2 linked regions of the Mus musculus genome follow. The protein of the gene in region 1 binds, or shares a complex with, the protein of each later gene. Links are inferred from orthologs where the notes say so. Each region holds a gene or a part of one and is shown in the gene's direction. Other genes may lie near its edges.

The links.
Region 2: Med13l (region 1) and Med21 share a complex: the UniProt entries of both Homo sapiens proteins name them as parts of the mediator complex. The link is inferred for Mus musculus from reciprocal best matches to the Homo sapiens genes MED13L and MED21.

Annotation. Positions count from the first base shown.
Region 1 is NC_000071.6:118,558,905-118,564,026, forward strand, and holds the start of Med13l (mediator of RNA polymerase II transcription subunit 13-like), read left to right. Parts: upstream 1-1,814; 5' UTR 1,815-1,881; coding exon 1,882-1,953; intron 1,954-1,957; exon of another isoform or gene 1,958-2,907; intron 2,908-5,122. UniProt on the Homo sapiens protein: Component of the Mediator complex, a coactivator involved in the regulated transcription of nearly all RNA polymerase II-dependent genes.
Region 2 is NC_000072.6:146,640,992-146,645,784, forward strand, and holds the start of Med21 (mediator of RNA polymerase II transcription subunit 21), read left to right. Parts: upstream 1-1,587; 5' UTR 1,588-1,619; coding exon 1,620-1,661; intron 1,662-4,793. UniProt on the Homo sapiens protein: Component of the Mediator complex, a coactivator involved in the regulated transcription of nearly all RNA polymerase II-dependent genes.

The DNA of each region.
Region 1 (5,122 bases):
TGGGTGTGATGGACCATCTGACTGCTCAGGTCTCAGTAATACCACATGTGTGCATAAAGTGTCGGGCAACTCCCCCTTGTAACCCTTCCCCCAATAGCATCTTAACGGAAATGTGTGACCTTGGCTTGAGGTCAGCAGGTCAGCAATTAGGATTTGCTTTGGACAGATTAGAAAATGAGGCATAGTTAAACTTTGCTGGGCAGGGTCACAGCTAGGTGTAGCAGAGCCAGCTCCTGGCATCCTCTCCAGAGCCTCCTGAATTCAGATAGTTCAGGAGTTGAGCCACTCAGTAACTGGGACCTTGGGGATGCTATTGCACCCCGATTCTGAGGACTCTGTGAAATGACCTATGTGTTCGGGCCACCTTCATTCCAGGGTTTAAGGTTTGTGGTAGTCTCAAAACTCCATTCATATGTCAGATTTGTGCCCGCTTTATTTTGCTTCCACCGCTCTTTCCAGCGTTTTACTCTTCCTTTGTTTCTTGGAGACAGTGTGTAGACCAGGCTGGCCTGGAACTCATAGAGATACGCCTGCCTAATTCTACCTCTTTCCAAGTCAACTTTCTCCCTTTCTCTATTTCCACGACGAAAAGTCCTGGAAGGCAGTCTCCGGCATCAGCACTTCTCCCAGTCCCATTACTCTCTGAAGAAGGGATGCTGGTTATTATTGACCGCTTGGAGCTGGAGGAAGGGCCTGCTCCCCTCCACATAGCCCAGTGTGAATGTGGCACCTAAGAGCGCTGGGATCATCTATGTAAGGAATGCCTGCGTGCACGCACAGAGTGGGCGCCAAGGGCTCCAGCAGCCGGGATGCTTTAGGAGCTCAGCGCTCGGGAGGCAGTGAGTCCCGAGCCCTGGCTTCCCGATGCCTGGGTTCGAATCCCGCGACCCCGGGCAAGCACCTCGCTCGCTGCCTTTGTGTCTCTTTGAGTCCTACTCCTCCGCCCGGTGCGCTGCGGCAGGCAGGCCGGCGGGCGGTCGCGCGCGAGGTTTCGAGGAGGAGACACTCCTCGGCTCGCTCGGCCAGGCCGGGCCGGCCCACGCCGCTCCTCGGGGACCCGAGATGCTCCCCCAGGGGGGCTCGGAGGCCGCTCCGGGGAAGCCGCGGCCCTCTTCGGCCCGCGCCCGACGCGCGCCCGCGCCCAGGGCGGGGCGTCCACGCAGCCCCGGCGTCCCACGGCCGCCCGCACCTCTTTCTCTTCCCTCCCTGGCTCCGTCACCCCGCTCCGAGAGGGCCGCGCTCGCTCGGCTCAGCAGCGCCTCCCGCGAGCCACCACCGCCGCCGCCGCCGCCGCCGCCGCGGCCCCTCCCCCGCCCCCCGCGCGGCCGGCGCCCGTCACGTGACGCGCCGCAGCCAATGGCGGGCCGAGCCGCGGTCGGCGGCCGCCATTGCTGTCAGAGCGAGCGAGCCCGGGGAGGGAGGAGAAGCGCGGCCGACTGGGGAGGAGGGGGGGGGTGGGGAGGAAGAGGAAGGAGGGGACGGCGCTCGGCTGCCGGGGTCGCCCGCTGGCTTCGTCCGCACCCCCCCCTTCGCGGGCTCGCGCAGCGGCGGCGGCGGCGGCGGCGGCTCGGGGCGGCTGCGGGGCTCGCGTGCCTCCCGCGCCGGCGCGGCCGAGGGCGAGTCGCCCGCCGGCTTGGAGATAAACAAGGCGGCCGACGAGGCGGCGAGGCGGAGGCGGAGGCGGCGGCCCTGCGCGACAGAGGCGGGCGGCGTTGCCGGCCCGCGCCCCCCGCCGCCGCCGTCGTCGCCGTCGTCGCCACCGCCGCCCTCGGGCCTCCCGCGCGGGCCTCGCGCCCCTGGTGCCCGGGAGCCGCCGCCGCCGCCGCCCGGCCCGGCCCGCTCCGACATGCCCCGCTCTGGCGGCCGGGCTCGCGGAGGACCATGACCGCCGCGGCGAACTGGGTAGCGAACGGGGCGAGCCTGGAGGATTGTCACTCCAACCTCTTCTCGCTGGTGAGTGGCGGGGCGGGGGGGAGCCCGGGTTGGGGGGCGCGACCTCCCCGCCGCGCAACTTTCTCCTCCCGGAGCCCTGGCGGCGTCGGCGAGCGCGGCGCCCGGCGTGGACGTGCGTGGGGAAGTCGGGGCGCTGCGGACGCCGGGGCGCGCTCGGAGCGCCCACCTCCGTGGCAATCACACCCCCTCCCCTCCCCTTCCCCCCTTATTTTCTTTTTTTTTCTTTTTTCTCCTCCTTCCCCGAAATGTGGAAGGCTTTTCTGCCTTGTGCAGCCGCCGGCGCGGGTGAGCTGCAGGCTCGTCCTCTCTCTCTCTCTCTCTCCCGATCGGATCGGCTGCTCTCCCACTCGCCGGCGTCTGCCTTCTGATTTTTTCTTTCTCTCTTCCTCTGTTTCTCCGTTTTTTTCCCTTTTTTTTCCTTTTAATATTTCCACAATGACACCTGCGATTTCGCCCGAAAACAGTTGATGGAAGGCGATGGTGTCAGGGAAAAGGACTCTGGCAGCCGGAGCTCGCTCGCGCCGTTGTAAACACGGACAGCCGCCCGCCTCTCGGGGTTTACTACGCCGGAGAGCGGGAGAGCCATTGCTCGGAGCCCACGGAAGGTGGAGGAAGCTGCTGCTCCTCGCTCTCCTCCGCTGCCTTTAAAAACTGTTTTCTCTGCTTTAACAAGGAACACACACACACACACACACACACACACACGAGCAACAAGCTGGGCGGTTTGATAACATCGCTTTTATCTGCCTTCGCCTCTCCTCTCTCCCGCTCTCGCCTCTGATAATTGACAACTTTTGCTTTGGAAGTGCATCGCCTGCCTTAATCTCGAACCATTTAGGGTGTCAATTGTTCTTCTGGAAGCCTGGCACCGGGCGACGGCGGCTCGATTCGTCGAAATTAAAAATGTATAGAGCTCCAGCAACTCTTTCCTGGCGGTGGCAGTGACATTTGGTGGTAAATGCCATCTTTGCTTTTTATTGGGTCGTATTACCTAGCTCTGAAAACATTCGCGTTGTTAAACCCGGCGCTTACGCTGATAATGGGAGTGCATGGTCTTTAAATACGCGCTTTGTGCCTGAGTTACTGTGTGTGTGTAGCTATGTGCCCGGGAGAGTACGAATTTGTTTAAATATTGAGCAAAGATTTGTAAACAGATGTAAGGCAATTATGTTTCAAGCGTAGAATATAATTGGAAAATTGGTTGAACGGCCTATTTAATTTAGCCTTAAAAACTCAACTTATTTTAGTTGTGTGCCCAATTTTGGTGGGGAGGGTGCTGGGGGGGAGGGTGCTGACTTTTGGAGAGCATGCATTTATTGCAAATTATTTTCTGGAACCCCTGCTGCAGATAGAAGCTTTATTTCCTTTTAGTCCTTGTTTACACTGGATAAATAATTTAGTGTTCAAATTGTAATTAGTTACATTTAATTATGGGTGGCATAGATGCTTTTTCTCCCCTTGGAGACTAGTGGAGAAAGAGGAATTGTTGCCAACTTTGGAAGTGTCATTCTGTTTTCATGCTGATGAAGAAATCAAGCATGATTTTGGCCTACAAAGACACAGGAGTGACACAGTCCCCCTGCTCCCACTCTTGTAAGCAGGCTGATTCCTGATCACCCCGAATTTTATCCTGAGGCTGTTTCGAGGTTCAGTTAGAAGTTGGGGGTCCTTCCTTTTACCCCTGTGGTAATTTACCGTTGATCTTTTGATGTGAGGATAAAACTACTTCTGTCTCTTTTTTCACCCCCCCCTTCCCTTGTCTGTCATTTATTATTAGGTTCAGGGACCTTCATAGATCAGCAAATGTATTGACTAGGCGGTATTTACCCCCCCCCCCAACCAATTTGGTGACTGGGTGACCGCAATGACACTTTTATAGGTAATTAAAATAACCAAGTCAGCTGGTGTTAGCTGGGGAGAGCTCCCACTTGCTGTGCATCAGGCTGAGAGCAGTGCTGCCTGTGTGCATGTGGCTAATGTATACACAGTGTGTTGTGCAGGCAAATGCATGCCTGCTGACTGCACAGCTCCACTCTCAGCTTCAGGGATCTATGGGGTAGAGATGAGATGGTCCGGATTCTTTCTTTAATTTCTGGACTTTGATTTTGACTGCATTCTGGGTATTTCTCCGCTTAAACCAAAAAGTTGACTTGAATATAAAGTACAATTAACTTTTTTGGGTAACTCCATTGAAATGCAGAAATGGCTTAGATTAGTTTTAAAATGTAACGTATTTCCTGATACCTCGAGGTAGGTAAATGCTGTCTAGTTGTTTAAGAAATTTATCTTTATTTTATATGCATCGCTGTTTTGCCTGCTTGTGTGAGGGTGCTGGGTTCTTTGGGATTGGAATTAGAGACCATTGTGAGCTGCCACGAAGGTGCTGGGAATTGAACCCAGATTCTCTGGAGGATCAGTCAGTACTCTTAACCCCTGAGCCATCTCTCCAGCCCTAAACTTTCTTAGAAAACCAAGCCAAATAAAAGAGACCCACGGAAAACCAAAACCAAGAATAAACTGCCAACAGTCCTTTATTCGGATTCTTAATTGAGAATTTTTTTCTGAAGAGCATACACACAGCAGCAACCTATCTTACTTATTGAGAATACATTGCGTAAAGAACATTGTATAGAATAGTTGATTTCAAAGGAGAGGCATCCTTTCAAAATCTTTTTTTTTTTTTTTTTTGTCAGAACTCTAGGTACCTAGCATTTTGTATTTTTGAAAAGTTTGGCCTGCAGTTTTGTTTCTGAGTGCAGAATAGTCACTTCTGGAACACTACCCACCCACATGCTCCTGTTAGCTTGGATGGAGGTGTAAGCTGGAGCCGAGCCCCGAGGGAACGCGACCCACTACTTCCTGAGATCCTGAGGCCATCGCCAGGGCTTAGCAAGGCTGACTGAGCAATCAGGCCTCTTACGATTCTTGTTCCTAGGCTTTGACTGAGTTTGTTTTCTGATACTGCCTGGAGTCCTGTTTCCTACTCTTGCTTTTCTGTCTCCACCCCCACCCTAACCTGTGAAAGGCCATTGGATGGCTGTGATATGGGCCCTTGTGCTGTTTCTCTCTTCCTCCTGTGAGATTTGTAGCCACTGCAGGAAATCCATGCCTGGCTGGGCCTCTGTGACACAAAACTTTTCTCATGGTGGCCATCAAATTAAGTGTGCTA
Region 2 (4,793 bases), on another chromosome or scaffold:
ATCTTCAGGTCCCCTTAAGGGCCCATTCATGTTGATGGGCTATAATGTGATTGACGTGTGCTCTCTTGCCCTGCCTTGTAACAGGCCCGGATTTTAGCACAACTTACTCTACGATGAAGTATCATAAAACTGAGGATGTAGGCAGCACCACCTGCCAAAACGAAAATAAAAGTCCATATCAAAGTCCATAGTTCTGGGAAAGTCTGTAAATGTACTAACCTTGCTTTTTGGTTTCTGTAGTTACACTTCTACCCAACTATTTTTGTTAACTGAGTCATGTCAACTCAAGATACGAATTTTGTGCTAGAAAGTTCACCCTGAGGAAGGCTGGGATCCTGAATACCCAGTATAGTCGATGGCTGGCTAATCATGACTATCTGTTGGCTTAAACCACATCTGAGGAGTCTTCTCTGGTGGATACCTCCCAACCTCCTCATCTGTTATGTCCTCCTCTGTTAGGATTCACCAAGAAGGCTCTCTCACGATGACAGTCCACCTTGATAGTGGACTTCCCAGCCTCCAGAACACTGTAGGGAGTAAACGTTCTTTGTAATTGCTTGTCTGTGCTATTCAGTTGTAGCAACAAAAAACAGGCTCACATACCCACCCACCTCCAACTCCAGAAATGATCATCTTGGAAACTATGATAAACAGTTTGTCTGAGTTCCACAAACCAGGTATTTGCAGATTCAGGACTCACTTCCCATCAGAATATCCCCAGGCTAACAGAAATGACCTTTCTGCTATCACCCTTCACACGGAAAACTGTCAGGAAGCCCCAGTTCTAAATTTACATTCTGAAGCTGATCTTTCTTAAGATCGAACCTGCCTAGACCGGGCGTGGTGGCGCACACCTTTAATCCCAGCACTTGGAAGGCAGAGGCAGGCAGATTTCTGCGTTCGAGGCCAGCCTGGTCTACAGAGTTTGCACCTCCTACCTTCAAATGCTCTTCTTCCTCCTTTTCACTTTACTTATCACCCGTTCCTCATCACAGAGCTGTTTAATGCTTTCCATTTCCCCCAGGCACTCCCACTCAGAATTAAAGCACTAATCTAGTCTCCAGTTGGGTAAGCACCTCCTGCCCCAAACTAATTAGCCACCCTTTTCTAGCCATTTTGATTTCCTGGAGAATGTTAATTTCTCGAATTTAAATGTTGTGAATGGCGGGCTGCGAGTATGCTTTGTGGTATACCTGCAAAGTAAAAGCAAAGGAAAACAAGTGTTCCAGATAAACAAAACAAAGAAACGAACGAACAAAAACAAAACCCCTCACAAACAAAACACATTCCAGGCCAGCCAGGACTACACCGTGAGGCATAGCCTCGTCAGAGCTAACAGACAGAATGGAGGAAGCACCTTCCCTTCACAGGCTCGGTCCAGCGTAAACGCGAACCCGTAGCAGCTCAGCCTGCACGCGTCCCTCCTCCCCCACACCAGCCCTGGATCCCACCCGCCTGACGTCAGCAGGCCCGCAGGCTGGCCCCGCCCCTCCCCGGCAGCATGCTTCCTTAACCACGCCCCTCAAGGAGGAAGGCCTGTGATTGGTCCGGAGGCGTCATAAATTGGCCAATCGCTCGCGCTCTAGCAGCTTTTGCGCACCCTTGCGTGCGTGGTGAACATGGCGGATAGACTCACTCAGCTGCAGGACGCTGTGAACTCGGTGAGGGCTTTCCTCTGCTCGCCAGCCTTGCTTTCCTGACGCGGAGAGAGGAGGAAGGGGCGAGGCAAGGCCCCGGGGAGCGCGCAGATTGAGGTCGCCGCGGGCGGCGCACCCCGTGAGGCCTGGGTCTCACGTAGTCCACAGGGCGGGGTCTGAGGAGACGGGCCTGTCCTGAGGGGAGACCGGGCCGGGCGGCTTGTCCTGAGGGGAGGCGGGACCCGGGGGCCTGTCCTGAGGGGAGGTCGGAGCCGCCAGTCTCTCCTAAGGGAGGTGGGACCCGGGGGTCTCTCCTGAGAGGATGTGGGACCTGCCAGTCTCTCCTGAGAGCCATGGGACCCGGGGCCTCTGGTGAGGTGCGAACTTGAGGAAGGGAACGAGTGGCCGCTAATAAGGAGGGGACCCGACGACGGCCTCTCCTGAGGAGACTCAAGGTCTGCGGCCAGGTAGCCAGGAAGCGAGTACTCAAGTTCCAGGGATGCTTCTAGAACTTCCTTTGTGGGGCAGCACACGCCTAAGCACTTTTGTGTGTATCCCTCCCTCGCGTTTCAATTTCAACCTGCCAAACGGATTTCTCCTGTGATTCCACCTCTGAGGCTGAGACAGGAGGATTGCAGCGAGCTCCGGGCCAGCCTGAGCTCCAGTTTGATAGCCCATCTCAGAAAACAAAACACAAAAGACCACAACAAAGTGTTGAGTGTTTGTAGGTTGGTGTATGAGTGACCAGGGCGTGAGCTTGCCTTGCTTTCTGTAGGCCTTCACTCCTCCCTCCGCTCTTGGCGACTCCAGCACCAATGGTTGGAGAGTAACGTCTAGAAGAGGCCAGATCCTGGCCTCTCCGTTTCTTTGCATTTGTTTAAGTCTGCTTTACGATCTTCCCTAAGAGGCTCTTATAGGTGGAGTGAAGCTCTTACAGCACAGTACCACAGAACAGTGAATGTACACAAGAGGGATTTTTGTTTTGTTTTGAGATGGTCTCACTGTGTAGCTCTGGCTGACCTGCACACTGTGGAGACCAGATTGGCGTTAAAAACAAAAAAAAAAAACAGCCCAGTAATCAAAATCTACAACAAAAGCTCCTGAAAACTGCTAGCTTCTCTAACTTTGTCGCCTCTGGCTGTTATTCTGGCTTAATTGTACATGAATGGAAAACTAAATACTGAGCCTGGAATGGTGACCCACATCTTTAATTCCTGTAATCCCAGCACTTGGGAGGCAGAGGCAGGCGGATTTCTGAATTCAAGGCCACCTGGTCTACAGAGTGAGTTCCAGGAGAGCCAGGGCTACACAGAGAAACCCTGTCTCGAAAAAAAAAAACCAAACCAAAACAACAACAACAAAAATAGTGCAACAGTTTTCCATTGGTAATTAAAATCTCTTAGTGTCATTCTGGTTGTAGTTTGATGTAGAAGAGCCTACACAGTATATGCCTGCTGAAAAAAAAAATCTAAATACCTAGTTCTCTGGACAGTGTTTTTTAAACAGGAATGTTATAACAAGGCTTCTTGGTAATTCATCATTTTTGAGAGTACATTGAAATTGTGTATCTACTAGTGGGAAGACTAGTCTATTCTGTGTAAATAAAGTAGTTTTAAAGTTGAGGGGCTATCTCTTAAATGTTGATGAAGTCACCAAGGTACATTCTGTTTTGCAAAGATTCCCTGGGCTGCCAGCCAACCTCTCCCAAGAAAATACTTTTGTAATTTTACAAGTCTTTCTTGTTTTAATTTAAATTTTTTTGGTTTTACAAATCTTAATAATGCTGTGTAGAAGCTCATCTCCTAAGTATGCATATTCATGTAGGTCCTATAGTTAGGATGTTAAGGATACGATATAGTCTTAGGAGTACTGATAATTGAGTTAATATGTATGCCTACTGTGTCTACAGGGAATGTGTTTACAAAGAACTATTCTAGGAGCTTAGAAAGATGTCATAAACTCAAGAGACTTTTAGATGATGCAAACAAACCCCATATGTGGCTAGGGAGTTACAGTGGATTGTTTTCAGCTCTTAAGAGCTAAAGTAGATTGGAACACAGAGCAATATTAACATTTGTTCTGCCATCTGGAAACTCCATGTTCATTTCTATAATATATACAGTACTTGTCATGGAGTTGGTTTTTCAATAAATATTTTTGAACAGATTAATAATGGGTCTTGAATGAATTTACAAGACAGAACACTAGCTGCTGTATTGAGTAAGCTTCATTTATATTTTTCTTTCTTATGACAGTGCTGCTAAATAGAACACTGCAACTTAGAAAGCCAACCAGGTTAGCTTTTCAATGACAATTCAGAATTTTACATTGAAATAATGACAGCAAAACAATAGAAATGTTTATTGATTGGAAATACTAAATGAGGCTTCAGGGGTTAGGACTAGTGAGAACATATGTTTAGTTTGTGAATGGTGTGAACTTATATTCTCAAATTACTTAAATGCAATGCTTTTTAGTTTTGCTTCTTTTGAGGCAGAATCTTATGTAACTCTGGCTGGCCTAGAACTGTCCACATACTCCAGGATGGCCTCAAACTGACAGATCTGAGTGCCTCTGTCTCTGCCTCTCTTATGCTGAGATCCATCATGCCCCAAAAACAAACAAATTTAAGCAACAAGGTTACAACTTGAATCTTGAAGAATACATTTCTGATAATTTACAGTTTAAAAAAATTTTTGTTTTTCATGTAGTACAAACTGGCCTCAAACTCCCTTACATAGTTGAGGATGGCGACCTTGAACTGCTCTTCCTTGCCTCCATCTGATCATTGGGTTACATGTATATGCTGTTACTCCTAAATTTTTGTTCAGTACTGGGGATCTAATTCAAGAATCATGCCGGGCAGTGGTGGCGCACGCCTTTAATCCCAGCACTTGGGAGGCAGAGGCAGGTGGATTTCTGAGTTCAAGGCCAGCCAGGTCTACAGAGTGAGTTCCAGGACAGCCAGGGCTACACAGAAAAACCCTGTCTCGAAAAACAAAACAAAACAAAACAAACTATACTTAACAAGAATCATGTATGCTAGGCTAGCATCTATCAACTGAGCTGTATCCTTAACCCTCTCACTATTTCTTTATACTTGGCAACTGCTTTGTTCACAGAAAAGAAATCATGCGCTTTGTACGTTACATTTTT